4 linked regions of the Drosophila melanogaster genome follow. The protein of the gene in region 3 interacts with the protein of the main gene of each other region in a pairwise test. Each region holds a gene or a part of one and is shown on either strand. Other genes may lie near its edges.

Region 1 (8,061 bases), 4.3 Mb from region 3:
AAATATATTTTTGTTTACAAACTACACGTTGTGAGTGGCACGTTTTCCAACACTGCCCCACACAGCAGATTGTCTGCGTTTCCGTGTGATTGGTATAAGAAGAAGAATATCAACACGTGCCGCTCGCATTTTTGTGAATTCGTGATTCTCTCGGAATAATGATAAAAATTAAGCGAAAAACAGCCCCTCCGCCCGTGGAACAGGACTCGGACAGCGATTCCAGCTTTGACGAGGAGGAGCCACAGGATTTGGAAGTCCAGGAGGGGCCAGTCACTGATAGCAGCGATGAAGAAGCCGCCTCCAGCAGCAAAAAAACGGCCAAACAAGGGGAAGCCAGTGAGGATTTAAAGGAAGAGGATGATGACGACGATGAGGAGGAGAATGACGACGACGACGAAGAAGAGGATGATGACGACGACGACGACAAGAAGACACGAATTCCTGTTTTGAATCCCCTCAGCTGGATGCGCAACAAGGAGCAGCGTTTGGCGTTGTACAAAAAAATGAAGAAGGAGAAGCACAAGAAAAAAATGCAGGAGCGCCGTGCCCGACGGAAGGCTGGTGTACCCGCCAATCCTGGTCACACCATAGAGAGCCTGCGAGAGAAGGACCAAACAGAGGTGGCCAATCTGAACGATTCCGACAACGAGGAGTTGCAAAAGGAACTCCAACTGGACGATTTCAGCTCGTACTTCGAACGTTCGTACGAGCCAAAGGTGCTGATCACTTTTGCTGACAATCCGGTGACCAAGACGCGTAAGTTTGGACTGGAGCTTTCGCGCATATTCCCCAACGCCCTGGTTAAGATTCGCAACAAGTCGTCGGTGAAGAAGATATGCAAAAGCGCCGAGCGCGAGGAGTTCACAGACGTCGTGATCGTTAACGAAGATCGCAGAAAGCCCAATGGGCTGCTGGTCATTCATCTGCCCAATGGTCCCACTGCCCACTTCAAGCTGTCCAACGTGAAGCTCACCTCGGACATAAAGCGCGATCACAAGGAGATAACCAAGCACAGGCCCGAAGTGATCCTGAACAATTTTACCACACGTTTGGGTCTGACCGTGGGCCGCATGCTGGGTGCCCTCTTCCATCACGATCCCGAGTTCCGCGGCCGCCGAGCGGTGACGTTCCACAATCAGCGAGATTACATATTCTTCCGTCACCACCGCTACGAGTTCACCAAAGAGGGAAAACGCGTAAAGCTGCGCGAACTGGGGCCGCGGTTCACCCTGAAACTACGTTCCCTGCAGGAGGGCACATTCGACAGCAAGACCGGTGACTATGCCTGGATAATCAGCAACAAACGGCACGCCATGGAGTCGCGACGTCGCTTCTTCCTCTAGGTGTATTTCGAGGCATTGTATTTAGGTATAGAACTACTTAATAAACCAACAGTTAATACGAAAATAATAGCTTGATTGAAGAGAGAGGTGATAACCATTAGCGACCGCCGTATTGTTTTGTCGGTGATAAAATAAAATACAAATTTGCCTTAGCCTAAAAAATGTGCAACACTCAACAGTTAACCAATTGGCACACCACGAGACTATCGTGCTCCGTCAGCCACTACATGGTTGGGCACTGGGGACCGGGACCGCCGGCTGCTACGCCGGCAGTGGGATCGCCGAAGGGCAAGTCGCCGCCCGTCTCGGCCAGAATCTCTGGCGGCGGCTGGCCGTAGTCTTGCAGTTTGCGCATGTCGTCCAGCACGACGCGGAACTTCTCTCGCTTCACGGCGGCCGAATCCTCGGTCTTCTCGCTCTGTAAATGCCCCTCAATCACCTTGTACAGCTCCATCTGCTTCTGGTACCTGTATGTATTGGTTTCTCAATAAAAGTATCTTATTGCGAGTTGATTTCGAGCATACCTTTCCTTGTCCTCAGCGGAGAGCTTGGCGTCGTTCTCCTCGAGGTACTTGGGGTACTTCTCCAGCAGCTCCCGGATGCTGGGCAACAGAATCTCCGCCGAGAGCAGGCTCTGCATCATGCCCTCCATGAATGGTAGGAACATGTTTCCATCACCCTCGCCAGCCTGTCAAACGGGGATTGTTTAATGATTGAGCAAGGAGAATTCATATTTCATTTTCAGGATGCATACCCCTTCAAGATTCAGTGAACCAAACATGCTGGCTATGTCGTTCTCCGAGGCGGGAGCAGCCAGGTTCTCGGAGCCCTCTTGCAGACCCTTGAGAGCCTGGGAAATGCTATCAGAATACTTGGAGACATCCTCGTCGGTGGCCGAATTTTCGCCGCTCAAGGTGAGCGCTGCCGCTTCGGCCATCTTTTTGAAACCGGCCATGATCTGGTCGGGATCCTGGGGCAGCGGCGGAATATCGCCACTGGGCGTGTCCGGACCTCCGAAGAGCGTGTTCATGCGATCGGCCAGCACCTTGGCCTGCTCACTGAAGGCGGATAACAGGTCAGAATACAAAGTTCAAGTGCCGCGTTGCACTGGCGCATTGACTCACATGAAAAACGCATCTGGATCCTCGGAGCCCTCAGGTCCAGCGTTGGTCGCCACATCCGATGATGCGGACGGCTCCTTTTGGTCACCGGCACCACTTTTATCGAAATCCTGGAGAGCACCTGTGCGAAAAGTGGACGACGCAGTGCGCATTATGTAAGGGGTCGAGAAGGGATCGCCAAAGGCATTTCCGGGCTGTACTCACTGTCCAGCAAGTCGTTTAATTCATCGCCATTCTTCTTTTCTTCGGACATTGTGCAATTTCGGGATGCTTTTCCTTGATTTCGTGGTGGGTGGGAAATGGTAAAAAATAAAGACTGACTGAATCAATCAGTGGGACCGTTCATCTGCTGCTGGTGCATACCGCAGTCAGCTGAACAGGTGTGGCTACACTGACTCACATCTTAGTGCGACCGCATTCGTAACGGCTTTTTAAAAGGATGCGAAATGATAAGAAAAAAATTTAAAAATTAACTTTTCTATATAATTGTTGGTTTTAATTTTAAGATTTCAGTTTCGGTTAGGGCTTAGACAAAATTCATATTACTTAAACAACTTTTAAATGCATTTAATGTTTTTTTTAAGAAAAATAGCTATATTTTGTTTAATTTTTAGTAAATATATTCCTTAAATTAAGAATTCTTATTTGTTACTATTATATAAAGTTCAAAACAAGTTCAGAATACCTATTTCGAAATAATCTGGAATGCATTATTATTGTGGACTACACATAAGTGTGAAAATGTCTAGCCATTTAATTCATATAACATATATTTATTGTCAATGAAAATTTCGAGTTTTGATTTAGAAAATTATATGTCTTACAACAACAAGTCATCAGTACACCCATCTACAATATAATAGTGTACATATTTAAATCTAGGCCTACATCAGACTAATAAACTTAAATTCGAAGCACCTCAATATCCCTCCTGTCTTGAGAGACAAACCAAGGACATTAGTCGAAGATTATCTAAAATAATCACCCAAAATATTTACGCATCTTCTGCGAAACTCTCAGCCAATCTCCCCGGGAATGGCACCTCGCTGTGCGCGGACGGAGATCGGCGACCAAACTGCGACCAGAGCCCAAACCGCACATACTGAGTGGTGAGGGAGGGGTCGCAAAACCATCAAGGTCACGGCGCGACGCTGATGCGCGACCAATTCCGAAACCAGAACGTCACACCCATGGACGGGACACATGGATTTTGCAGTAGGGCGTCCAGCTCTAGGTCCACTCCCGCCCGAAGGTCACCGCTGCGGAGGAACCCCGCTTGGTTTCCTCAATTCCGCTCATATGGTCAAATGGCTGGGCTGGGATGGGCTGTGCTCTTTGCGACTTTAACCGCACGGTTTACCAGAAGAGCAAAACGAATCTTCGATTCGGTACGCCCACGCAGCGAAGTATTGTGGTAAATTTGTGTTTTTTCCTCTATTTCCACTATTGGGGCGGAGTTTTCTTCGGTCAGTCGGTTCTCTGAAAATGTCAGCATGGGCGGAGCTTCGACTGAAATAATGCATAATTTGGTGTTTTATTTTGCGGCTTAGGGTGGAACAAACCGCCTGAAACTCTTACATTTCCTACAGAAACAGGGTAATTTGACTTTTTATGGGCTGTAATCCATTTACAGAATATGCATACATATAACATCAAAAATTTCCCTAAAAACCATAACTCTCTTTTTAGGGAAAAATTTCATTCTCTATTCGCTGCGAACATCAGAGTATATAGTTCAACTTCAAATTTCTTAGAACCCAAGCAGTTCAGTTCAAAAAGTCAAGACAACCGTCAAAAAGTCAAAACAAAAGTCGAAAACGTAAAAACCCCTTCGTTGGCCAAAACAATGGTTTTTGGGTCACACTCACACCCGATCCCAATAAACCAAGAAACTCGCTCTTTTTTGACATAATTTTTAAGGCACCAACAGGCGCGTCATAAAGTTGTTTATTCCGATATAATCGGTTTGCTAGACTAGCTGAATTTACCTGAATCTCCAGCTCTATTTCCCCAGAAGAGGAAGGATTCCAACCGTCATAAAATGCCCATCAGCGTCTTCACAAGCATCTACACTTCCCTTCCTTTTTGCAGGAACTTTGCCAGGATACGATCCTGTACATCCTTTTCATATGCTGACTGCGATTTCACGCTCGCTGATCGCATCGCTATTTTTTTCAACATTTCCGCATCCTTCCAGCGAAAGATGCTCGATTTTACGATGCACTGAACAGGATATAATGGATTTCGCGATTGTTCGGTAATGACGATGATTGCGACTTTATAGACACATTATTTATATTGTGGCTGGTGTCGTGTGGCTATGGTAATAAAGTGTAAATAATAAGTATATATAAAGGAGTAAATAAATTAAGACACTAAATATATGTAATATATATGTAATATAAAAGGAATAAAAGTTCTTTAAAATAAAAAAATTATACTAATTAAATTAAACTCTGATTCTAGAAATCTGAATGTTACATTACATTCAAAATAACTTGTAGCTTTAGTACACCTTGTATTAATCATTCAAGTATCACAAAATATAAGATATTTATATATGTTTCGACATATTTTTGTGTCTGGCCAGGATGGCATTATCTTTTGATATTTTGGCCATGGTAATTGCGATTACAAGGCTCCCAGTCATTCCTGGAAAACGCTCACTTTTCCTTTGAAATCCTGCCCCGAAAAGAAGAACTGGAGAAGTCAACTGCTGGCAGCTTCCCGAAAGACAAGACACCCACATCCACCATCCAACATACAACATCCACCATCAACCATTGCGCAATGGGGCGAGCTCTTCATGCTCCGACACCCATCGCTCTCCATCAAAGTGGCCATGCAAATGAGCCCTTGCGTCTGCCATACGTTTTCCTCTAGAGGATTGGGTCGAAGGGTAGCCGACTCCAGATGATGTGGGTTGCTCTGTCTGTGCCCCCCCAGTCGCTGTTCTGTTTGATTAAGCGGAAATTAAGTGTGCGTTTCGGTTGCAGCCTCCCAATTCGCCATGCCCTGCTTTTTTTTTATCGTGAACTGCAGCACATATATGTTTTATGTTTCCCAATCGATTTGGTGGCTCAAGAGCTGCTTTTGGCTTCCTCAGGTCAAATAGTTTTTATTACAGTGGTTAGGAATTACTCCCAATTAAGTTTCATAGAAATTATAGATTGCTAAAACATAAAACCACTTCTAAGTAGGACATCATGAGAAACTTTTTAAGCTCTTCGCATAAAACTGAAGATTCTTTCCCACTAATGTATAAATAATCACGGTCTCTGCAGTCAATTTTTCCATTGGCAATGCATTTTTTTTAATAGAAAACGCCGACCGTAGCCAGTGATTAATGAAACAATTGAATGATTTTATTTAAATTCGCATATATCCGATGCAAACCGTGGCTAATGGACAAACGCCGCCGAAGAGAAGATCCAACATCTCCAAATCGAGATTCCATAGAAACACTCGGGATGTGAGAAAAACGCCACCTACTTTGTGGACTCTACGCCGAGAAAACTAATGATGTTCTTTCGCCATCCATCGAGTTTGTCCATTATAGTAGAGTATATGATCGATCCGCGATCGAACCTGATCGACTACCACAAAGCAGGGCAATTACAAATCGGGGAACTGGACAACAGGTTGCCGGCTGAGTTGGGAAATATGGATGTGGATGTGGCTCTGTGACTCTGGATGGAGATGGAACCCGGCCGGAAAACAAATTAATCTTGTTGACGTCGCAGCCTCGTCACTTTCTTCGCCAGGTCGAGGGCCCAGGTGTTTGATCTCGACCTGATGCTCCGATGCTACGATCTTCTGTTGGACAACGATGGGTTGCGCCTACATTTGCGCCTTCTGTTTAATGATCAATTTGTTGGCCTCCGTCGCCGTCTCTCAGATGTGTGCCGACAGCGTTTAGCAGTCGATTGGGCTCGGGATTGGTTTGTTTGTGCCCCGAGTTGCCGGGTTTGTTGTGCCCCAGGCTAATGAGTTTCTCGAAAGTGGGTGTATGTGGCAGGGGCTCCCCTTTTTGCCCCTGGGACACTTCCTACATGATCGGCGAAAATTCAGCCAGACTCTGTGACGTCCCAATACACAGGAAGATAATCCCTTTCAACTAACTAACTATTTATTATTTAATTTATAGCTTCTTCATTCTTATACATTTAGGTACTGAAAAATATATATTCTTAAGCAATAATTATACAGAATATGAATATTTCTTTGCATGAACAACATTTGCTAAGTATTTTCGCTGAGTGCATGACGAATGTCATGTGGTTGGAGTGCCAAAACCAAACGTTTGTGGGCAGAGGCGCGAAGTTTCCACCAATTGCGATCGAAGGTATATATGCTATGAGAGATGCTAATTTAAGGACAATGGAGTTCCGGGGAAGCCAGCTCGCGACCCACAAACAACTAATGCCTTCAATTAGCCCGGCTAAACTGCTACCAAGAGCAAGGGTTAATCGCCCGGAGATCGGGAAAGGCCCTCAGCTTTCCGCCCACTTTTTGTCGTAGAGTGGGCGTGGGCTGCGTTAAGCCGCAGCATTTTTTCGATAACTACCTGGACATGGACTCCGAGTTGGCCCGACTCGTCCTGACCCACCCAGATTGCCATGGGCCATGGCAAATCGTTTACAATTGTTGATCAATAAAACGTCGGGCTGTAATGCGATTATCCGCTATAATCGGGCGATCAACACTCGAGAACTTTTCCAAAATATTTGAAAAAGTCAACTGGCGATCGACGGGATCCAGGACACAGGCTGGCCAGGATCCAGGATCTAAGCTGCTGCGACTTTCCCTCTAATCTCGCACTTTGCCGCTATTTGTTTGCATGCTTTAGCGGGGATTGCGATTTACGATCGCTCCGGTCACAGGACTCCTGCGAAAGGACTCGCTCTGGGAGATTCAGCTCAGATGGGATAGGATGGAATGGACCACGGGATAGAATGCGACTCATATTTACTAAAACTTACTGCGGATTAGGAAAAAGTCAATCGCCGCCTGCCAGTCTGTCGAGCGAGTGGAAATATTTGAGGATCAGCGCAGAAGCGCAGGATCAACAGGGGGCTTAAGATTTCAGCTAGAAACATAGCTAAATGAAGGTATTGAAAATCAATTAAATTGTATATAATACTACATTAAACCAAAAACAAGGATTATTAGAAAAGTTGAAATGTTTGCTTTTCCTTAAAATATCTTTAGTAGGCCTGTAGCTAAATAAATAGTGCTATTTCTTTAGAATCTAAGTACTTAGATTTGCTAACTAAGTATAATATACGATGTCTAAAGATGTTGCTTGCCACGGTGTATTACGATATGCCTTCCAGAATTCCCTAATTTCTGGAAATCATGGCTCTAAATAGTCCATTATCTAAGCATCCCGTAGTGCGTTCGTCGGTCAGAGCCTTCTGTGGGCTGTGGACATGGAAATTCGATGCACACCACAGCATCCAAAGAAAAAAAAAGTAAGGAATCACCATGCCAAAGGGCCTGATAAAGACATTAGGACCCGGGGAACGTGAAACAATCAAGGCCGTTCCAATGTGTGACAACAGACCACATTACGTCCGGCCAAAGCGAATCGATTG
Region 2 (6,378 bases), about 11 Mb from region 3:
TCGTCCATGGATTGCTGGGAGGTGTTTTTATCACCTGGCGTCAGCGAGATAGAAAGCCCACTGAGCTGGGTCTCTACGGAAAAAACGCCTTCTATACCAGCGAAACAGACGACGTATTTCTGGTGGGTGAGCAGAAGAGACTCAGTGGAGGCAAACTAAAACCCGGCGAGGCGGTCAAAAATGTCAATGGCAACCAAAAGACAGAAACAATCAAAGGTAAATAAGAGTACTTATATTACCGTTTGTTTTTGACTAATTCACAATTTACTTCCAACTCTAGATCCTGTCTTGAAAGCTAGCAAAAAAGTGGAGGAACAGCGTCTGAACATTAGCGATGCTGCCACCAAGGAGTTCGTGGAGACACTGAGAAACGAAGCCGAGTTGGACTCGGATTGGGAAGTGGTCCATCCCGATGTTCCTCTTAATGCCAACGAGGAGTGCGAAGGAAAATTTAGTGTGTGCGGAAGCGAATGGCGGAACCAGGACACAAGTGAGGAGTACACCAACTGCTGGCCCATGGAGTGGCTGCCAGATGATTATCCAGATTCCAGAATTCTGGGCATAGATTACACATCAGCAGTCACAGAGTGGTCTGCCAATTTTACCAAATACTGTCCGTGTGAAAAGGGTCAGGGTCACATTGATGTGAGAGCCAACACACTGCTCGACAGGATTTCAGCGTCGGATGTGGGCAACGATCGTCCGATCGTGTGGATAGGACATTCCATGGGCGGCCTGCTGACCAAGCTAATACTGCTAAAATCCCTGGACTCCCAAGAGCCGAAGGTCCAACAGCTGACCAAGAACACTAAAGGCATTGTATTTTTGGGAACCCCACACCGGGGCTCACCAATTGCCAAGTGGAAGCAGCACATGCAGATGATCCTGTCTCCATCAATCGAGGTCAAAGAGATGGAAGAGAACTCGCCGAAGCTGCTGGAGATGCACCGCCGCTTTATGGGGTGCTTGCACACGCTACTGCGCCATGTAAAGGTGGTCAGTGTAGCTGAAGGATCCCCTACCATGTTGACCTCGTTCAAGTTCCCCCTGCGCATTGTCACCGAAGAGTCCTCTAAGATAGATTTCGGGGACTTCTATCTGCTGAAGGATGATCACTTGAGTCTCTCCAAGCCCATTTACAGGCAATCGTTTCTGTATCAGAGATTATTGCACGTGATCCGCGAGGCCATTAAGGAACGATCAGATCCCAAAGATCAGGATGGCCAGTCACAAAGCACTTCGAATCAAGATGTAGTGCTTGTCAAGATCGTAGCTGCTCTGTTGGAGGGAGCCAAGGGTCTGTTCGAATCGCTGCCCAGAGTCGCCCTCAGATTTAGCACTTAGGATGGGCCAAGTCCCACTAAACACCAGTACCCTAATAGTATCCCGACTAGTCTTTAAAGACTTGTAAAGTATTTTCTACACGAACCCTCACCATCATGACCATTCATCTTTGTAAATACTCCAGCACTCCATATAGTTTTTTACACCCGAATCCTAACTTATTATTCTCGGTCTCCGACTAAAACGTTTGAATAAAGATACATGTGTAACACTAATGCGAGTGGTTTTAATACGATTAAGGGTATATTTAAAGTGATATTCATCAAAGATCGAAGTACAGAAAAATCAATTTAGATATTAAGTACCGCGCATTAACTTTCAACGTAGCTTATTCATTTATTTTTATAAATTATCCTTTGAAAATTATAAAAATATGCGTTTTTATATCATAAATATACACTAACTTTTACTTCCGCTCTCCTGCTGCTGCTTGGCCTTAAGTCGCTCCTGCGCCAGCCTGCGGTTTTCCGCAATCCTGGCCATCTGTTCGTTGGATAATTTCTTAGCCGCCGGCGTGGGAGGCTGTGAGGGAGGCAGCGGCTGACCATAGTCGCTGATGTCCATCGATGCCAACGGAGCTCCATTCCGATCGAAGGCCGGAGCCACAGAAGCTCCACTTCTGTCGAAGGTCGCATTTACACCGGAGTACGGCGTGGACATTACAGCATTGCCGCGGGAGAATGACGGAGTAGCCAGCGTGCTGTTACTGGAAGCAGTAGACATTTTCCACTGCTGCGGGCTGGGAGGCGCCAGCCTGGACATGGCAATCTGTTCACCTAGCAGGGCGTCGAACTCATCAAAGGGTTCATCGCCGGCACCTTCCTGTTGCTCATCCTGCGCCTCCTCCAGGGCCTCCGCTTCGTGGGCGCGCATCTGCTCCAGCTGACCGAGTCGATATCGCGCCATGTGCACTTGGAGGGGTTTCTTCTTGCCCAGCCGTTCGATATTGTTAAGCACATCGTCAAAGGTGTAGGTGGGATACATACGATGGCCCCAGTGCTGCAGGCGGCGAAGCACCTCGTCGAGATCGGTTTTCTCGTAACCCTTGCCCTTGAATTTGATGTCCTTAAAATAATCTTCGATGGTCTGGATGCCACGAGGACCTCGAAGTGTTTCCACAGTGAGTCGCGGTCGGGGATTTCTCACAGCTCGCTTCTTAGGCTCCACTATCTGGGCATCCTGGCTACCAGGTTCTACGCCGTTGTCCTCGTCGTCCGCAAACAGCTTTTCGCCTTCGCCATCGCTGGGCAGCTGATCCGGGTCAGTCGGAATGTTGTCATTGAATAGGTCATCCACACCATCATCTCCGAACAGGGATGCCATAGAACTAGTGGCCGAAACTTAAATACCAAATAAACAATCTAACAAAATTTTGGCGCCAATTTTTGTTCTTCTTCTCTATCTACCATTCACAGGCGACGCTTGCATAAGTCACAGGGGGCTGCCAACTGAACAGCTCTTTGTTCTTTTAATTTTCCGATTACATAACTATTTGGTCTTTCCCAAAGGCTATTTTGATTTGCTTAGACATATTTTCATTAGTGGGTGGCACTAAAGGTAATTTGTACAGCCAACCCGGCTTTTGCATTGGTGGCAGCAGACATAAGAGATGGCAGCGTGACACGTTTTTTTTATCACTAAGCGACACATTGGCGTCACGAGTTTTTGTTATTCTATTATATTTATACCATTATACAAGGAAGGATAATTCATCCAAAGATTGTAGTTATTTAAATTTAGTGAAATATTTAAAAGGAGTTGGTAATGTAATAAAATTACCAAAAAAAATAAAATAAAATCAATACATTATTAGCTAGCTAGTTTCTTTTTCATCTATTTTCTCATTCCAATTACTCATACCACATAAAAATTGAAAATAATTATCCGGGGAGCAACGGAAGATTATTATTTACGTTGAGAGAAACTGTCCTCTTTTAACTGCTATCCTTGTGGTCTGGCAGAGTAAGAAATAAAAATGTGTTTAACGACATTTAGTCGGAGTTGACGAGCTGCCGCTCTTTATTCTGGTAACTGCAAATTTAAGCTGAAACTTAAAATGATTCTTAAAGCTAACAAAGACTCCGGCCCAATGCTGTCTCAGCACTTTGATATTATGTTTCATACACTAAGCCAACTGTACTAGTTCGTCGGCTCGTGTTAACTTAGCTATTAGCTATTATGTGCAACAAAGTACAGTTTCGTGAAAATATTTTCACTTCGTGACTGTCGTGCTCAGCTCGTGCATCGCAGCAAATTGCCATCTCTATGCCCCCAATCAACTCTGCGCTTTGGCGAAAAGTGGCAACGCCAGCAAAACGCCATACTTTTAAGAGCATTTTCGGGGCGACTTTACATTGTGAGGACAATTGTGGAAAAAGCGGTGAAAGAACGTTCAAAAACGAACCGAAAAACTGCTGCCTAAATGCGGTCACCACGTGCGATAAGAACGCCACGTTTAAAACGATAAATCCATTAGATTCTGGCCAAGAAAAGAGCGGTTCTTTTGCGAGGGCGAGCAAGGAAAATTTAGTGTGGTGCGAAATTGTAATCGGGATTCTACGCATTGTACGGCGTATCAGCTGAAGAGATTGTGTGCACCCCAAGCGACGCAAACAAAACCAAAACAAAACAAAAACATTTGGAGAATTATGAGATCGTAGGACCGACGGCACGGGATTCAATTCGACTGCCATGGACAAGCGATTCAAGTGGCCGCCCAAAAAGCGGGCCAACTACTTGGAATCGCCCTATCCCCACATACCGTCGCGTGGCCGCCAAAGGAATCTGCACGGCCATCCCAATCAGACGCAGCATCTTCATCAGCATCCCGGGAAGATCTATGAGCGCCAGCAATATGGCAATGGTCGTGGAGGACATGGCGGGGGTAATAACAACTACCGAAAGCTTTTGCATTCGCTGCCAGCTGAGCATGGTGGCGGAGCCATGGCTCCTCCTTCCTCCGGCGGAACCGTGTGTGCCGGCGCCGATATGGTCAAGCTCATCTCGGAGAACAACAACCTGAGGCGCATGGTTATGTTGAACTTAAACCTGATGCAGGAGCAGACGGACAGCATAGCGGCCAAGGACAAGGAGCTGGACGACCAAAGCGCTAAGATGAGCGTGGTGAAGGCGCAGAATGAGGAATTAAAGCAGGCCGTTGCTCAGTTGGAGGCCGCCAACCAGGAACTATGCAAACAGCTGCGGCGAAAGAACCAGCGAAGGAACGACAATGACGACGACGACGATGATCCCCCACTGCCACCTGCTGCCCCGCAGCAGAAGTTGATACGTTGTCATGCTGAGACGCAAACTGTGTTTCGGGAGCGGGAACAGGGCACACAAACGATAGATGCGCAGCCTCAATTCGCGAATGCACTTCCCAGGGGTATCAACATGAAGGAGTCTCCCGCTCTGGACCATCACGCTGGAGCGGTAACGAATCAGCCAGCCAGCAAACGCTCGGAGAGCAAAGGCCGCGGTGAATTCAACGGTAAAAAGGTGAGCACGTTTATTCTCCAGCGCATGAATCAGGACTTCGAGCACCACATCCACGAGCAAACGGAAGTAGCAGAGGAGCACGAGATGGAGGCACATAAGGAGCAAATATCTCAGGAAGAGGACCAACTGGTCGCTGAGGAAGATCATCTGCATATGCAAGAAGTGCACACCGAGGAAGTCGTTGGAGGCGATATCTTTCATGATGCTTTGGAATCAATTGAAATGGAAGTGGTCACCGAAGAGCTGGTTGATATGGAGGAGCATGGACAGTCCGTGGATGCCAACGGCCATATCGAGGAGGATGATGACGAGGACGACGAAGATGACGAGAATAGTGATAAAGACGATGACAGTGAAGAGGATGATTATCCGTGGATGCATAGCGATGCGGATGTAAACGCCAGAACTGAGGAAGAGCTCTGGCAGAATCAGGTATGTTTAATGTTATTATTTAATTAAAAGAATATATCGAGCAATCCTTTACTCTTTCAGAATTACCTTTTGGAATTGGACCCGACGGAGGAGAAGACCTGTGCGCCTTCGGCCCATTCAACTCCCAATCACCAGCAGAAGTCTTCGACACAGGCAGAGATAAGGAAAGAAGGAAATCAGAATCGGATAACTGAAAAGTTGTTGCAACTAAAGCCTGAGCCAATGGTAGATGCATTAGAAGCGCCGATTCTCCCGAAGTGGGTGGCTTTTAAGAAAAAGGATAAGGAACATGAATCAGTCCCCGAGTCCCCAGAAGTACCCAAGCAGCAGCCGCATCAGGAAGATGCCATCGTTGATCATAATGCAATAAAGAATCAGTTGGAAGTTCCCAAGCCGGACTTAAAACCGAAGGACCAGCCCAAAGACGAACAGAGGCAGGATGGGCAGCTGGATGTTCGCGTGGAACCACAAGAGGATGTTCGTAAGGTACAGAAGGAAACTCTGAAAAGGCAACCAGAGGATGCACCTAAGCACCTTCCGAAAGCGGTAGCCCCAAAGGTTACGAAAACATCCTCTCGAGAAAGCACGTTGCCCAAGGCAAACACCGCTGACATAAAAGACGCTCCCGCTCAAAAAGTAATAGCCAACCATCAGTCCACCAAGACGCAAACGGATCCTGTAAAAACGCAGCGTTTGCAGGTTAAGATCAGGCAGTATGAAATGCATCCTGACATGAGAACCGGCTCCTCCGCCCCGTCTGATATTCGGAAACAAAAGAACGTTGATCCAGTTTCGACGCCCGAGACGAAAACCATTAAAAGTAAAAGTATGTTGGTCAATGATAAAAAGACCACGTCGGAAACGTCTCAGAGCCCAGATCAAGAAATAGATGTGGAAACAGTTAGAAGAAAACTGGCGGAACATTTAAAAAAGGAGCTCCTAAGCCAGAGTCATTCGTCACAGGTTACGCTCAAGAAAATAAGAGAGAGAGTCGCCACAAATCTAATATATCCACCACCCAGTGCACCAGTATCCTCAACAACAATAACCCCAGCGCCTACGCCGTCAACGACACCAACGCCTGGCTCAACGCCACAGCATGCG
Region 3 (10,183 bases):
TATACATATGTGTCTGTCAGTGTCGTGTCTGTGTCTGTGTGTGTGTGGGCTAATGGCTTCCATCCCAGATCCTGTGCCTTAGCCCAGGAACCTAATGTTGGTGAAGACCGCCTTGGCCGGACGCTTTCGATTGCAGAAGTTAACCGTCTTGCTGTGATTGCCCTTGCGATTCTCGTGCAGATTGACCAGCAGCTTGAATATATCCTCCTTACTAGGTGTGCAGGCATAACGCAATTCCGGTTCATAGTTGCTGTTGATAGAATTCATGTAAGAACTGATAATGGTAATGGTTATGTAGTTAGCAAAATCGTTCACGCTTCGGCTATCAGTAATCAGTAATCAATAATCGATCTCTCAGTGGGCGGTGGGAAGTTCTGGGTGTCTGGTGTCTGGGCGCCTTTCGGGCCTAAAGAGACTCTGATAAATGCATTACATTAAGTTGTTCAAATTCAATAGACTACTTGGTGGGTGGGCGTTTTGGCAAGGATGCTCCTGAAATTGCCATTCTTTGCATTTTTTCTTTCGAGGTTCATGCTTTTGATTTACGTCAATTCGTTGCAATTGAATTTATCACATTTTTACTTTAAATTAAATCTTTCCATTCCCAAGCAGACGTATTGAAATTGGCAATTTTAGGATTTCCGTTCTAAGCTCTAAAAATATGCTACTTAATACTGCATAAAGACTACTGACAACATTTACTAACTACAAATGAAAAGTGGGTTCGATTAATTAGCGGTCAATGGAGCTGAGTATAGTGCTTGGTGGATTTTCGGATTATTGTGAATAATGTTTAAATATAGAAAAGCAACCTACCCGCGATTCTTGTTGTGACGCTTCCATGGATACCTTCGATAGTAGCGCGAACGCTTGGATTTGCTCTGGCCCAAAACCAAATCCTGAACGGCGTTCTCCAAGTCGGCGTAGTCCTCGGCTCCGCCGGAAGGAATCACAGCCTCCGGCTCCTCCTCCTCCACGTAGACCAAGGGCAAGGTTTCCAATGAGGGATCCTGAGCGAAAAAATGCACATAGATCAAAAAATTGTGTTAAAATTTTAATAAAAATTAAAAATATTATCACTTAAGTATGCATTACTCAAAAAGTTATTTATAAGCAAAAGCTAATATGTTTTGATGTTTATGTTTAATATTTTAAAAAAATTTAATTTACCGTGTATTTTTCAACATTTTCATCGAAATTTCGACAGCCTGTCTTCGCACTCACCTCCAGCATTTTCATGAGCAAAGCGGATTTGTCCACCAGCTCCTGCTCGGCACGCAAATCCTCCTCCATCTTCTTGAGCACCTCGAACTTGCTGGCCAGCTCGAGTTCGTTGTACACCGCATCCGCGTAGTCGGGACCTTGAGGAACCACTGCCAATCCGAGCTCCTGGGCGCGGAGTAATTCTGCCGTGAAATGAGCAAGCCAAAGACCTTATTTGCGATTTGAATGTTTATTCAAGCTGTCGCTAATCCGACCACAACCACGCCATTGCCATTCCCATTCCCACTTCCACTCCCACTCCCACTTAATTCCCCGACTCCTGCTCCTTGCCATCGGAAACTTCCGCCGTTTGATATTTGAAAGTTTGAATAGTTTGTTTGTCTGTCTGTCCTGGTTGGCTGGAATATGTTTTCCCCCGGCTCTTCGGTCGTTTCAATGGACTGGCGGAAATTGACTGGCGGCAATGAGTTTATGGCCACAGCATTCCTTTTCCCCTCCGCGGCAGGGGAAGCCTTCTCGGCTTTTCGACCACGTCCGTCAGTCAAGTCAACAGGCACTGCAACTCCTTGACTGCCTTTTGTCGCATTTGGCATCCAGTCTGCCCATCACTGTCCACTCGATGTCTCTTCAAAGAGCCGCAGACAGCGGACGCTCATGAACCCAAAGCATTTACAGTTTTAAATTTAAGGACTCCTCAATTGAAATAAATAGTTTCGAGATCAGAAACAGAAATAAATTTAAATTTTTGTTTCATATATGTATGTTTATAAGATCATGTCCAAAAATTCAAATGTTACCAACTCAAACCAAATCGATATTCGTTAAATTTCCAATCCATTTACCCATCTATCAAATCGCTTGGAAAACAAGTTCGCTTATTGAAAATCGGATATGACATTTTATTGCCGGTTGGTAGAAGGTAGGTGGTAGCAACGTAAAACGCAAACGTCGAATCAAATTCGTCAACAAATTTGAAAATCTATCCCGGGCAGTTTGGTGGGCGTTTTAAGTGCTCAGCACAAACAAACACATGCTCCACATATTGTGCGATGGTCAACAATGTGAGGCACTTGAAAAATTGTGCACTGACCGAAAATGTTCAGCGAGCGGTGGTCACCATGGCCATTAGGGATAGAGATGGTGGGCGACGGTTACGGCTAAGTGCACGCCATGGGTCACCCTAACTCTTGGTCCACCCCTTTCGAATGGGTCGCCTAAAAGTCGGCAAGCAAAAATTTTGAACGTAATCATGTACTCAGGTGAGGAGTAAATAGGAGGCCATAACTGCCATTAAATATTGAAAATATTTTAGAAAAATAGCTAAATGACAACAAAATAACTAGTTCATTTATTAAAGTTCCTGAACAGATTCAGTTCCAGTTCCTCAGCTTTATGGATCAGAATGCCTATTAATTTGGCTAATATAAATAAGGTCTATATATTTTTATAGGGCGATGGAATAGCTTGGTTATAGGATTCACCTTGACCACGATTACGTCTTCGCATTCAAAAAGAACCCGATAACAATTTAATTGAAATGGTCTTTGGATGCAGTTGCTATCCTTTTAATTCGACTGGGGATTAGCTGATGCCCGGGAAGTTTACCATGGCAAGGAAAGCGGTAATAGGGATGTTTATGACTCACCATCGCCGGGATCGTAAACAGCTCGTTCCTGGGCATCCAGGACATCGCCGGGCAGAGCGGGTCCTTGGCGAACGGGTCCGCCCCCGACCGCTAGAACGGGCAAATGAAGACGTTGTGGTACGGACGCCACGCCCTGATGGTCACCCACTTTGGCACCGTTTGCTCCGCCTGCTCCTCCGCTGGCGGTGGACTGTGCAGTCAGGAAGCCGGCGACGTGACGCGTCCTGCTGCACAGGATCGTGGTAGCCAGGATGCAGAGCGCTAGGATGTCGGGCTTCATGTTCATACAGCCTCTGCGGATGAGCTCGGGATTAGTGCGCGGGTCGTTGGCGATGTGGATGTCTCTGGAAGGCAAAAAAAAAAAAAGCGTAGATGTTTGTACAAGAGGGTAATTACCGTCACTACCACGGCCATGGGATGGATACCTACCCCATCCGCCCCATTATGCCGTGCGTGTGGGCGTCTCTTTGTGCTCAAGCAAACAATACTCAGATAAACACGCAAGCAACCAAGAAACCCCCGCCAAAAGTAGGAGAATCGCGAGGGAAACTGGAGAAATGGGCGGTGGGTGCCAAACGTCAAAAGGGCGTCTCTTGGATAACTTGGCGGCTGATTCTGGGGCTTTTGTTTTGCGCTCCTGCTTAATCTTTCTTCGCGCGAAGAACCGTGGGCCATACGGGCAAACAAATTCTACTCCTTTTCCACTAACTAAGGCCGTTATTTAAAAATTGGGTAAAAATATAAAGGTTGTGTACTTTGCAGACAAATAGTTAATAACAAAGACGGATGCAGTATGTTGTTTATAAAGTAGAAATTACACAATTCAACTATCAGAAAAATAATATATTTATATTAATATTCGAATATTAAAAAGTACTGCCTAATTTTTAACATCCCATTTATTTATAGACAAATGAAAGCTACTCTATAATTCTTGTAGATTTTAACGAAAGATGTTTCTAATTAAAATTGATAAGAATGCTATTACTTTTCGCATAGATTTCCACCACTGTGCAGTAGGTGTTTGTGTGCTTTTATAAATATTTTTTATGTCAGGTACTGCATCGCGGTTCATACTGGGCCCACTCTGTGCGCTTTGTCGTTTCATTTAATTAAGGATGGGACGTCGCCGAAGTGAGCGAGTGGGCTTAACTCCTTCGCAGCGTATTTTTAGCCCATTTAGCTCAGGAGCCTGGTTGTTGGGGTTTTGGGGAAACCCGCCAACCTTATCGCATTTTTTTGCGTTTAAAAAACATTCGCTTGACGAGCAATATAAATGAGTTGCCTGAAACTTTTGGCACTTGCGGTCTCGCTGGTTGAGATGTCTAGGATCGGCTTAATTTGTCTGCCCAAGCAACTGAAAATAATGTATGCCTAAGACAAATTTCGACAAAAAAGTGTGAAAATTTTCACCAAGAAATCCAAAGTTCATTATTTAATTAAGGGCTTGGTAAATAATTAAAGCGCTGTTTGCTGCGAAAGTTTAAGCGTCTGTTTTTTTAAGGAATTATAATTTATTACATAATTCTATAATTTAATAATATTAATCTTTATTAAAATATTTTCCAGAAAATCTGTTCTACCTCACAGATAAATACATTGAAATTAGCTCAATTTATATGGTTAGTTAACCACATAAATCAATCAAGCAAATCAACTCTGTCACGCCCTCTCAAAAAAATAAAGACGGTTGCATTTGGTTCATTAAAATTGCTCGGAGAAAGAGAAATTCTCTGTGGATGATTTTCTTTTCACTTTTCGTCACGTTTTGATTAAATTCAATTGAAAATTTGCAACTTTGTCAAAATATTTGCGAACAATGTTCTCTCGTAGATTTAGGTCTTTAAGTGCATTGCGATTTTCCTGTTTTTTTTTGGTATTAATTTTGGAAATAAATTGCAATTTCTTCGGGCATTTCCTGCAAGAAAACTTTTTCAATTACTCCTCTTTTATTGGCACTCACTTAAGTGGGCGACACTTTGGCGTTATTTTTGGGAAAGCACAACTTATTCGAAATTGCTGCGGAGAGAACGAATTATAAGTAAACAAAGCAAACACGAATCGTTGTTAAAATGCCTTAATTAACTTGTTGACACAGTGTCAAAAAGTGGACAGAGCCCAAAAAACAAAAAATAGGAAAAAAAAAGCAAAAGAAGGGAATTCACCCTGGTTGGCGATGTCCCCAAGGTAAAATGAAATTAACTTGGAAGCGAGGGAAGTTTCAGGAACCCATATATAATTGTACGTTCATTTTTACCCGTCGCCTGTTTTCCTTTTCGCAATAACCGCACAGCTAATTGCTAAATTGAGTTGAAGTGTAACCGAAACGCACACGAACCCAAAGGAATTTTCATAGGCCTTATCTGCCACTATATTCGCCTACGTACCACCTGGACATGTGTGGCGGAAAAACTGCTTAATTAGGGCTAAGGATGTGGAGTTGGTCAAGTGCATCGGACATTTTGTCGCCGGAGTCCGGCCAATTAGACACGGTCTACGTGCGTAACAATCCTGGGTAGGATATTACATAACTTTTCTACTTATTGAATCCGACCATCTGGGATACTTGTCAAAATTTGCACACAAAAGGTTACACAAAGTGTTTGAGCCAAACCAAAGGACCAGACAGACGGCAATGATTGCTACGAAAAATCAAAAAAAGGGTGCTAGCCAAGAAAATTCCATGAAATTCATAAGTATTTTTTTTGCAGTTTTAAATCCTCGCCAACTACAAAATCGTGTACTAATCTTTAATGAAAAGTATAGCCTGCGGAATGTAAGTCAATACCTCTAGATATACTTTTCAGTTGCTATGTCTAAAGAAATAGCACAACCAATTTCAGTAAATACATTCTCCAGGAGAAAATCCTGTGGGATGCTGAATTTTTGTGACATGAAAACAGCTTTGGAATGCTTTCGATTGATTCAGTTTTTTTTTTTAAATTTCTATACGATTGTCAGGAATTTTTGCACGTGGAACTTAAGGGGTTTGAAACAGAGAACGAGGTCGGGGACAACAAATATTGATGCTTTTTTCTATTTGTTTCTCCTAGATTTTCATTGGTTTATTGACATTTGTGTTTGGCATTGGTGGGAATTCCTTGAGTTATTGACATTGATAAAGTATTTATGGATTGCTGTCCCGAGTAACCTTAAAACCAATTTTCCCAAAATTTGTAAGCTCACCAGTGCAATGAAATGAATTTTTAAATTTAACTAGTTCAGCTGTGATGCTCTGTGCTTAAAAAGCTTGAACTTTAATAAATTAATAAAAATAAATTATTGTAGTTAAACATTTACAAGATTAGTATAATATATAAAATTAATCATATAAATGGGGTTTTCTTGTAAAAAGCGTTGGTGAAATAAAATAAGAAAATTTTACTTTTATTTTTGAAGAGAACTTACAATGGCTAGGCTCTATCTTTATGGTAATTTTCAGTTTTAAGCCAAAGGTAGTTTTGTGTTAAATATCTTCTGATACAATTCAAAATATAAGAGCAGATTAAAATAATTTACCAAAGAAAAAGTACTGAATTAATGAATTAAGTTTTAGCTGGCTTTTCTTTGCCTTAAAAATATTTCTGTATTATTAAGAACGAATTCACTTAATAGTTTTAAATATAAGAGTTCTCCTGTTCTTATTTGGCATATTTAATATATGTCCACAAATTGTTATTTATTTTTTTAGGCGCGTATTTCGAGTTTCATTGACGACACTGTAATCGATGACGAAAGCGACGGCATTACTAAGATTTCACGTCACGTTTAGTTATCCTTTTTATGAAATCGACTGGCTTAAATTAAACACAGACCACAAGATATTTTTTGGAAACTTCTTAAAGAGTTTGGCGTGACTGATATTCGAAATACACCGTTAACACTCACTTTAAAATATATTCCTGGAAACCGTTTGAGTTACTGAATCGGAATCAGAATCGGAATACTGTCAACTGTTGCACCTACTACTTGTTGAACACTGCGTGGTTGACTCGCGGAGCCGCTTCCTTTTATAAGGCCGCATCCGAAGTTGAAACCGATTCGTTGCCATCGTCGGCCGATGACGAGTGCGTCGATTTCAACGAGCCGATGTAAAGGCGCCAAAAATTGCGTAAAAGCTTCAAACAAGCTTTTACTGGCCACTCCTCCTTGGAAAACGAAGCCACGGCCGTTTTTATCAATGAAATATTTTGGGGACATTTAAAAAGTTTAGCGCGATATTCGCGAATGAATAATGTCGGTGGCAATTATTCAGCAGGATCACGATATGCGCCGCAAAGTAGACAACAAGTCGCGAAAAGACGTCACGTGGCAAGGTGATAAATTATCTGCGGGTTGGGGTGGATAGAAGCCTTTGTTGACGGCCCTGTTTACGGAAACGTATTCTGAATAGTCCGGGTCACTCGTTTCTCGGAATCTCGCCTTTCTGTGGGAGGTCTCAAAGTTCCTCAAAGGACCTGCCAAGCATGACGCTGCGGAAATCCCTGCAGGCCGGTAGTTTGGAAATGTATTTGAAAATTTCCAGCGAATCGCCTAAATGTAATTGCATTGTCATATTCCAGTGCAAAATGGTATTGTCATATTGCTGCACTTATGAATTAGGCAACGATTATATTTATAGATCGATGATGATATAGCCTATCAGTCAGGCTGATAAATACTGGAAAAAGATAAAAAATCTATTTAAATGTGGTAAACTCATAAAATTTAATTCGAAAGGGTTTGATGTCTGTTTTTTTTTTACCTTCTATTGGCGTTTATTAAAAAATAATCAAATTTTATATTTATAGCTAATGTGTATATTTAAAACATTTGCTGCCTAAACTTAAACGGCAATGGCCTCGGCCAATAGTCCATCCTTTCCGTCCGACTCCCAGTTGAACTGCAAATCCAAAAGGAACACGGCAATCGCAGAGGAGGAATCGAAGGGTCTGGACATCCATCCAGTCGGATGTCAACAACCGTCGCAGCCCGCAGGCCTTGAAAATGATGACACTTTAATGTGAAATTGCCGTTAGTAATGGAGGGCAATCCAAACGATCCTTCGATGTTTTCGTTATTGTTTTGAGTGTGTGTATGTATGTGTGTGTGACTGTGTGTTGTTTTGGCCTAAAAGGCGGGCCGGGAAAATAAGCATATATAGGGTTTTCTTGAAAATCGCCTGGGGCAACAGAAGATGACACTTACGCAGAGAAAACCAATAATAGCCCGCTGAAAAGTTTAAGTGCTCGCGGGCAGGGGAAAGTGTCACTGGATGGAGGCTTCCTCATGTAGCGCGGCAAAAGTCATATTTTTGGCCAGAACCTGCTATTTATAGTCGTCTTTATTTATTTCGTTCGCTCTCCTCCACTTCTTCATACTTTACGCTCCTTATGGCAAGCGGATTGTGCGACTTAAGTTGCATCAGTCCGAAGTCCACCCACCCAAATGGCCACCGATTCATCCAAATGCGTCACGCCCTTCTGGTTTGGCACATGCAATCTCGCCATGTGCCGACGTGCCAAACAAAATGATAAACAAATTAGCGCAGCTAATTACTCTGAAATTTGTGGTTGGTGTTCCGGGAAACAGAGCCTGATATGTCATATATAAATATATTTCTTATGAAGTTATAATGAAATTAATATATATCATCATATACATTTATTTGTAAAAATAAATAAAATAAATCATTACCCAAAAATCATTATACACATGAAAACTCAGCGGACCTTATCATTTACTAAATTAGTTTTCCGTGTAATCTTCTTTCGAGGATTCGGTTTTCAGAACACTATTTGGCCCGCATATCTTTCCGTTACGCATATCCGTATCGCTGAGCAAATATTTGTAGCATACTTGTCGGGCGTTGGCGAGTGAAATGTGCAATTGACTCACGCGTTTGTTTTTGGATTTTTCGGCCGCTTTATTTTTGTTGTCATGCGGGTACAATCAAGTCGTTACAGCTTTAATTAAACCCCATTGACAGTTATCAAGTTATCAACCTAAACGCTGAGATTGAGTGACAGTTTAGCTAACGTTTTTCGATTGCGCTACCTCTTCCGACGTCTAACAAACTGTGGTAGGTACCCCAGCCTAATTGATGTTTGCACGATTTGGTGAAATATCTGGACTCTCATGGATGGGAAACCAAATATTTTGCCAAATATTGTAGAACTCGCTAAAAACTGGTGCAGCAGGATAAACGACCAGCCGCTGTCCACCGAACGTAAAAAATGGTTTTATTCTATAGCTTCTCATTAGGCTTTGGCTGGCTCCTGGGCCTCGTGATCGGAGGAGATATCTTGTTCCGGCTCCTCCACCACCGCCTCCTCCTCGCACTCCTCCGGTGCCTCGACGTAGTTCTCACCCATGATGATCTCCTCGGCCAGTTGATACAGCTCGCGAATATCCTGATCGAAAAATAATAGTATAAAAATATAAATTAATGTGAACATTTTGATGGACTCACCTTGGCATTTCTGAGCGCCACGATCTTCTCATCCTCGAAGCGCAGCTGATCGTACTGCTGCTTGGAGATGAGCAGACCTCGATTGAACTCGTCCTCCATTTCGGCCTCCAGTTCCTCGGCGTACTGCTGCTTGGCCAGCGTCAGGCTGATGGCATCCTCGCTGATCACCGTCTCCTCGGAGACATCGGTGGCATCGTCCAGATATTTAGAGTTCACTGCGCCGCCCTGGAAGTCATCGTCCTCCATCGAAGGTTCTTGTGGCATAATGATCTCCCCGCTGGAACGATGGGCATCCTCGATAAGTTCGGTTAGTTGTTGAGTGGTGACCGCAAGTTTGACATCCTTTAGCTTGTCCTCCAGCTGATTGCGAATACGCAGCTCGGTCTCCCGGAACTTTTGCCTAATTATGTGCAACATATTTGATTATATCACAGCAGTAGTATCATATTAACATGTATAATCCCCACCTGGCCCTGACTATATTCTGTATATCCTGGGGATCCGAGGAGTAGGGCTGGGATATGCGCAACGAACGCTCCTTCATTTTGGCACGCTCCTGTTCGAGGAACTCCTTCAGGCTCTTTTCGCACTCCCGCCAGTCTTCGTTATCGATGCTGGAAAAGTGGGGAAGTTTTCCTTTCATTAGCCTCCATTCTGAAGCGAACTCACTAAACATTCAACTCATGCATATTAATGGCGAAATAAGAAACAGGGTTTAAGTTTGCGCCCTGGGAACGAAACGTTTTTATCATCATTTGGCGATACCCTTTCTTCGAAGGACACAATGGTTTTTTAAAACACATACAGAGTTGAATATTTACCTAAACAAACGTTACAAATTTTGTTAACTTTGTCCAAGAGTT
Region 4 (7,293 bases), on a different chromosome or scaffold from region 3:
TCTAAGAGACTCTGCTACAGTACTTGTGTGTGTGTGTGTGTGTGTGAGTTCGGTACCCGAAAACGGAAGAAACCAATGTGCCAAGTGAGATCGCAATCCGAGTCAATCCGCAACTAGTATGGTGCAGAGCGAGAATCCCAGTAGCCTGGGAGCCGAGCTGCAGGACTTGGAGCACGGAAGGCGGGAGTCCCGGGATGAATCCGACGTCGAGTCCAGACTTCTGAACAATGGAAAGAGCTACGACAAGGAAAAGGAGGCGGGCAATCAGGACGGTGAAGAGACCACTCCGAAGACAGGGAAATCTAAGAAGAAGAAACAGAAATCCGAGCAGGATCGTCTCATGACCGCGGAAATTAACAAGCTGCTGGCGGAATCCCCGCTGGAGAAGAATGTTACCTGCGGCTTCTGGATATTCAAGGGAACGTTTTACCAAAGGTAAGTGGGCTCTAAAGAAAAGTGACATTCAAGCATATGGATTACAACATTATCCTTGATTCATTTGTAACCCTGTAGATTTGCCAATCAAACTGCTTACGTTTTACTTTACGGAATCGTGGGCTGCATCTTTTCAATGACATATGCCTACTTTAACGGCACGATCACCACAATAGAGAAGCGCTTTAAGATACCATCGAAGAATACAGGCATTATCTCGGTGGGAAACGATATAAGTCAGACCTTGGTGTCGGCGGTTTTGGCCTACTATGCGGGAAAGGGCCATCGGCCAAGATGGATTGGTTTTGGTAAGTTATATAGAAGGATATATATAATAATCGGAGGTTAACGTATAATTATCCTTTTATTACTGCGCAGGTCTTCTTACCATCGTATTTTTCTGCATTCTGACCACCGCACCGCACTTTCTCTACGGACCCGGCGAGGATGCACTTGCTCTGACCTCGGAGTTCGGCGGGATGCCCGATGAAAATGCCACAATGGAGGCTATCGAGGAGCAGCGATCCAAGACCCTATGCCGCTTGAATGGAGGAGGAGCGGAGTGCGAGGTCGGTGAAGGAAACTTTGCGCCCCAACTTTTGCTCTTCGTAGCGCAGTTCATATCTGGAATTGGAGGATCGCTATACTACACGTTGGGAGTGTCCTACATGGACGATAATACTAAAAAATCCAAAACTCCGGCTTTGTTGAGTGAGTAGCGCTAAACCAGTATTAACCAACCGGAATAGGAACTTACACAGCAATGATAGAGCAGGCGGCTAATCCCCTGTATCTAAACAGTTTTAGCCTCTAAGTGTTTACTAAGATTACATAAAGTTTTCGTAATCTTCCGAGGAAGTGCCGAATCATTAGGGCTGACTCAGTTTCTCATGGATTATGAGGTATAATAAAATGTTTCGAGGGAACATTTAAAAACGATGCATTGTTAGATACTTTTCGATATATAAAAAAATATATTTTACTCAGGCTTTCATACTTCAATAGAGGTCTATGTTTAACATAAGATAATAATATGATCTGTTTACAGACTTTGAAAAAATATTTTATTAGCGCCAGACAAACTAATGATGAACGTTTTGTGTTACTAACCTCAAAGATACGCTTATCTCGAAGAAGATAGCCATAATTTAATCACACATGAAAATGACTTCAGTAGAGGCTTTGAAAATTGCAATATTCTTTGCATCTATTTTAAGGTCTTTCATACTTTTTGCGCATGTTGGGTCCTGCCATTGGATACGCCCTGGCATCCTTCTGCCTGCGCCTGTATATCGCACCACAAATGCATCCGGTGATCAACAACAAGGATCCCCGCTGGCTGGGCGCCTGGTGGCTGGGCTGGCTGGTGATGGGCGGCCTGCTCTCCTTCTCGGGAGTTTTCCTCTCCATGTTTCCCAAAGAATTGCCCAGAGCAGTGGCCCGCCGGAAGGTGGAGGAGAATCGACGACGCGAAAAGGAACGACTGTCGGTGAAGAGTACGGAGAAGGAACGCCTTACTGCGGAACTGGATCAGAAGACTACCGCGGAAGCGAAGGCCTCCTTCCAGGACATGCTGAAAACCTTTCGTCGCCTGATCACCAACAAGACCTACATGTGCAATACACTCTCGAGCATTTTCTACCTAGTGGGCTATACGCCGTACTGGATATTCACGCCCAAGTACATCGAGGTTCAGTATCGCCAGTCAGCGGCCACTTCATCCATGGTCACCGGCACAGTGGCCCTGGCCTTCTCCGCCGTGGGAGTGCTGCTCTCCGGTTTTATCATCTCTCGCTATAAGCCGAGGGCTCGCTATATGGCCGCTTGGAACGTGATTGTGGGCTTCCTCACAGTTGCCGGAATCCTGGCCTACGCCTTCATCGGCTGTCCGGGAAATGAGAGTTCCGTGATCGTCAATATTCACGACAGCTCGTTAGCTGGCAACACTACCACATGCAATTCGGCCTGCTCCTGTGACTACGTCCGCTATTCCCCGGTATGCGGGGAGAACAACATGACCTACATCTCCGCCTGCCACGCTGGGTGCAAAAAGTTGCTCGTCAACTCCGAAGGAAAAAAGGTAAGTATTTACTTTGTTTAGCAAATTTTAGAAAAATGAAGCAGCAATTTTTTTTTGTTAGATCTTCTACGATTGCTCCTGCATTCCTAGCGATGATGCTGGTAATTCCACGAGCCAATTTAAGCGCCTAACCAGCTTCGATTTGAGTAACGATGAGGTTAGCCAGAACACCTCGGTTCATAGTCAGTTGGAGGCTCTAGCGAATGGACAGGCAATGCCCGGCGCATGTCCCGTAAATTGTTGGACACAATTTGTGGCCTTTTTGGCCGTGATGTGTTGCCTGAAGTTCGTGGGAGCCAGCGGCAGAGCCTCGAACTTCCTGGTTTCCGTGCGCTGTGTGCCGGAAAAGGACAAGACGGCGGCCATGGGATTCGGAATGACTCTGTGCTCGATGCTGGCCTTTATTCCTAGTCCTATATTCTTTGGCTGGGTTTTCGATAGGGTCTGTTTGGTGTGGGGCAAGACCTGCACAAATAAGGGAAACTGCTGGCTCTACGATCCGCTTTCCATGAGGTGAGCTTTAATATATAATGCTTAAATATCTATCTATAAAACTCGTTTCTTTAGGTACACTCTCAACTTCACCGCAGCTGTCTTTATTGCCATTGGAGCCATTTTCGATCTGGGGGTCTGGTACTACGCAAAGGATCTGAAAATCTTCGACGAGGACGTCAAGGAGGTGGAGATGAAGATCGTTCAGCACGAGGAGGAGGCCAACAACGAAAAGAATACAGAGATTTAGTCCTAAGTTATTATTACTCCTAAGTGCTGTGTGAGTGAGAGTCTTGGTGCCTTGATTTGTCAATATCCATGTGTGATTTCCAACGTAGAGTCCAGTACCATAATAAACGGTATTGCAACAGTAGAGCTCTGTGTACTCATATGGTAATTGCTGACAATTAACGACCAGATCCCGATTAGTAAGATAAAGCTCAGACGGACTTAGCTATAAACATGAAGGCCGCTATTCGCTATCTAGAAGCTTATTTTGTTTACCCCCAGAGGCAAGTTAATTGTATGCAGCTTGCAGCTGAGTTTGGGATTCAGTCTTTGGCAGTAGTTCGACAGTGGACGACCATCATGGCCAGTGAAGAGATCGAAGCCTCCAAGTTTCTGAAGGATAAAGAAGCCGGCATAAATGTGGCTGATGATGAAAAGAGGTTGAATTCTTCGGATACAACATGTGGCTTCTCAATTTTCAGGGGCCCCGCCTTACAGAGGTATATTATTCAGTGCTCTCTTTCGAGTTTCTTGTGATACCATCTAGATCTTTAGATTTGCGACTGCTCACATGTTCGTGATTGTGTACGGGATAGCTAGTTGCTTTCTGGCCATGGCCTTTACCTATTTCACTGGAACCATCACAACGATGGAGAAGCGCTTTAATATACCCACCAAGATATCGGGTCTCATTACGGTGGGCAATGATATAAGCACGGTTTTCTCGTCCGCCTTTCTGAGTTACTACGCTAGTCGAGGACATCGTCCACGCTGGGTTGCATTGGGTAACACACCTGAAATCACCGAATTGACTTCAGATAGCCAATCCTTTGCACTGTTTTAGGTCTCATCATTATAGCCATTTTCTGCCTGCTCATGTTGACCCCTCACATTTTCTACGGACCCGGCGAAGAAGCTTTGCGGCTGACAGAAGAATACGGAATGTCCGAATCCTTCGGTGCTTCTCTAAATATCACCGAAAAGAACGACTCACTGTGCCATGAAAAAAACTCAAATTGTCTAGAAAGAGCTGGGGACTACACGCCCATCGTGCTGTTCTTCATTGCCCAGTTCATAGGTGGAATCGGGTGTTCCCTCTTCTACGCGCCAGGTCTCTCGTACATGGATGATAACTCCGCAAGTTCCAAGACCCCAGCAATGCTAAGTATGGGATGGGTATGGGGATCTTTATTTTATTTTCACTTCCATTGTATATTTTGTAAAGGCTGGAGCTCCTTTCTGCGTATGCTGGGTCCTGCTATGGGCTTCTCCATGGTATCCTTGTGCCTCCGGCTGTATATCGATCCCTTCAAAAAGCCACTGATTACCACAAACGATCCGCGCTGGATGGGCGCTTGGTGGATAGGTTGGATTCTCCTCACATTCATCCTGACTATCTCAGCAGTGTTCGTGGGCATGTTCCCCAAAGAAATGCCAAGGGCCAAGGCCAGACGCTTGAAAGCAGATGGCGAGGAGGATATTCCGCTGGCTGGACGCTCCTTTCAGGATATGCTGGACTCGCTGAAACGATTGGCCTCGAACAAGGTGTATGTCTACAACATGCTGGCCTCTATTCTGTACTTGTTTGGCTACATGCCGTACTGGATATTCACCCCGAAATACATTGAGATCCAGTACAGGCAATCGGCATCAACTTCCACAATGGCCACAGGAACCTGGGCGTTGGGATTCTCTGCCGCAGGAATTTTGATCTCTGGATATGTGATCTCCAAGTACAAGCCAAGTGCCCGGGCAATGGCTGCGTGGAACTTCGTGGTGGATTACTTGACGGTGGCTGGCATGCTGTGTTATGTACTGGTGGGCTGCGACGAGAGTGATCGGGCCAATTCCCTGTCCATCGTGCCCACCGGTGACAGCTGCAGTGCCTCATGTGTCTGCGAGTATGTGTACTATGCTCCGGTTTGCAGTCCGGAAAATATTACCTTCATATCTGCCTGCCACGCGGGGTGTACCGATAAGGCCATAAATGAGCTGGGAAAGACTATATACACAGGTTGTCGGTGCATGGGCAACGTTTCTAGCATAATCTCTCTGTCTAATGTGACGTCTTTGGCATCCCAGTCTCAGATCGCCATGGATGGAGCCTGTCCGGTGGACTGCAACAAACAGTTCCTTATCTTCTTGGCCGTCATGTGCTTCCTTAAGTTCGTGGGCGCCACTGGGAGATCGAGTAATCTGTTATTAGCCCTGAGATGCGTTCCCTCGAAGGACAAAACCTTCTCCTTAGGTTTCGGCAGTATGGTGTACTCCGTGCTGGCCTTCATTCCCAGTCCCATTGTGTTTGGTTGGATGCTGGACAGCTATTGTCTTGTATGGGGAAAGACCTGCAGCTCCAAGGGTAACTGCTGGATATACGATACGAAGTCTCTCAGGTGAGTAGATCCCTAATGAAAAAGTGTAGAAGAAGTTAAGGCCATCTTTCCTTCAGATACACCATGAACCTCGTGTGCGCCTCTCTGATTTTCCTGGGCAGCTTTTGGAATATTGGGGTCTGGTATCATGCGAAGGACATGAAAGTCTTCGATGAAGACGAAAAAACGGTGCAGGCCAAACAGAGCGACGATATAGAGCTGAAGGAAAAGCCAAATGATGTTGTTACTAAAAAGAAATAAAAGCTTTCATACAAATTTTCTTTTTCTTTTTATCTATGTACATATGGGTACGTAACCCGCAGGTGGTAAAATGTTTGAGCGAGAATTTCGCACGTTTCCAAAATAGATACGAAAGAATGATAAGGAATCCCGTCAATTAAATGTTCTTAAAGTATATTTTCCATGTGTGGTATATAAATGTCGCTCGTCTGATCCCCACTGTCTAATCTGACAGACTTGATAAGATCTAAGGCTGTTTACCCATGCGATGCAGTTGGGTATATTGTTGAGCGATTTGATTAAGAGCGAGTCAGTGTGTTCGAGTTGTTCGCAGGTAAAAGTTGAGACATGACAGAGGAGCGAGGAAAGGTAGACTTGGAGAAAAGTGAAACTTTGCCCTTTATTGAAAAGCCATTTGCAATATCGGATAAAGAAAGGGAATCTGCTCCAGAGAATGAAACGGAAGGAGAAGATGGTGGAAAAGACACTTATTGCGGTTTCTGGATATTCAAGGGCCCCTCCATGCAAAGGTAAGCTCTAAGGTACTCTACAACTACCTTCATGCTTAGGAATCACTCTCTCCAGATTTGCCACTGAGCATATGTACGTTATTCTATATGGACTAGCTGGCTGTGTTATGACAATGACCTTTGCGTACTTTAACGGGACTATAACGACCTTGGAGAAGCGCTATAAGATACCAACAAAGGTATCCGGCATTATTTCGGTTGGTAACGATATCAGTACCATGCTAACGGCCGCAATCCTGGGTTATTATGCGGGCCATAGGCATCGACCTCGCTGGATGGGTATAGGTGAGTCCAGATCTGTGTCACTTGATTTGCAATACATATAGTGTCCCATTTAGGGTTGCTTACCATCGTGGCCTTTTGTCTGCTTACAAGCTCCCTGCATTTCCTTTATGGAGCTGGAGAAGATGCACTCCAGCTAACCCGAGAATTTGGACAGGTTAACGAAACATTGACGAATCAGGAGCGGGATAAGAAGTTGTGCCAACCAACTGCAGGAGGATGTGTGCAGGAGGAGGTTGGTCTGTGGGTGCCCCAAGTGTTTCTGTTTGCTGCTCAACTAATCTCGGGAGTGGGTCAGGCTCTGTTCTATACCCTGGGCATAGCCTACATGGACGACAATACCAGCAAGGCCAAGACACCTGCCATGCTGAGTAAGTGAAGGACTGTACGAGTATGAATTCCTTGAGGTATCCCAAGCATTATCACTTCACCAGGCATGTCTACCTTCCTAAGGATGCTGGGTCCAGCCATTGGTTACTCCCTAGCTGCTGTCTGCCTGCGCCTATACATTGAGCCCACCTTGGAGCCACTGATTGGGCAGGAAGATCCACGCTGGTTGGGCGCCTGGTGGCTGGGCTGGCTGGTCCTGGCTGCAATTACCTTGGTCTCCGCCATTCTGCTGTTTATGTTCCCC

What was found.
Region 1: the proteins of CG7191 (region 3) and Pex19 interact in a two-hybrid assay, tested with the Drosophila melanogaster proteins (one large-scale study listed by BioGRID).
Region 2: the proteins of CG7191 (region 3) and CG10336 interact in a two-hybrid assay, tested with the Drosophila melanogaster proteins (one large-scale study listed by BioGRID).
Region 4: the proteins of CG7191 (region 3) and Oatp58Db interact in a two-hybrid assay, tested with the Drosophila melanogaster proteins (one large-scale study listed by BioGRID).

What each region holds. Positions count from the first base shown.
Region 1 is NT_033779.5:12,088,518-12,096,578, reverse strand, and holds Pex19 (peroxin 19), read right to left. Parts: upstream 4,758-8,061; 5' UTR 4,453-4,757; exon of another isoform or gene 4,221-4,452; intron 2,892-4,220; 5' UTR 2,718-2,891; coding exon 2,669-2,717; intron 2,586-2,668; coding exon 2,468-2,585; intron 2,402-2,467; coding exon 2,098-2,401; intron 2,032-2,097; coding exon 1,868-2,031; intron 1,811-1,867; coding exon 1,567-1,810; 3' UTR 1,344-1,566; downstream 1-1,343. Other genes in the region: CG6712 (uncharacterized protein), read left to right, coding at 159-1,343.
Region 2 is NT_033779.5:18,686,083-18,692,460, reverse strand, and holds CG10336 (uncharacterized protein), read right to left. Parts: upstream 2,934-6,378; 5' UTR 2,751-2,933; exon of another isoform or gene 2,685-2,750; 5' UTR 2,668-2,684; coding exon 1,744-2,667; 3' UTR 1,555-1,743; downstream 1-1,554. Other genes in the region: CG10383 (uncharacterized protein), read left to right, coding at 1-216, 281-1,344; msl-1 (male-specific lethal 1), read left to right, coding at 4,036-5,274, 5,335-6,378. UniProt on the Drosophila melanogaster protein: Required for normal progression of S-phase. Important for cell survival after DNA damage or replication stress.
Region 3 is NT_033779.5:7,764,292-7,774,474, reverse strand, and holds the start of CG7191 (uncharacterized protein), read right to left. Parts: upstream 6,848-10,183; 5' UTR 6,758-6,847; intron 3,214-6,757; 5' UTR 3,156-3,213; coding exon 2,870-3,155; intron 1,407-2,869; coding exon 1,225-1,406; intron 1,011-1,224; coding exon 817-1,010; intron 275-816; coding exon 79-274; 3' UTR 1-78. Other genes in the region: CG46025 (uncharacterized protein), read right to left, coding at 9,109-9,261, 9,321-9,720, 9,788-9,934.
Region 4 is NT_033778.4:22,219,767-22,227,059, reverse strand, and holds Oatp58Db (organic anion transporting polypeptide 58Db), read left to right. Parts: upstream 1-3,560; 5' UTR 3,561-3,595; coding exon 3,596-3,735; intron 3,736-3,790; coding exon 3,791-4,020; intron 4,021-4,079; coding exon 4,080-4,400; intron 4,401-4,460; coding exon 4,461-5,628; intron 5,629-5,684; coding exon 5,685-5,868; 3' UTR 5,869-5,880; downstream 5,881-7,293. Other genes in the region: Oatp58Dc (organic anion transporting polypeptide 58Dc), read left to right, coding at 119-435, 514-743, 814-1,146, 1,653-2,515, 2,577-3,028, 3,083-3,257; Oatp58Da (organic anion transporting polypeptide 58Da), read left to right, coding at 6,196-6,377, 6,433-6,662, 6,716-7,030, 7,094-7,293.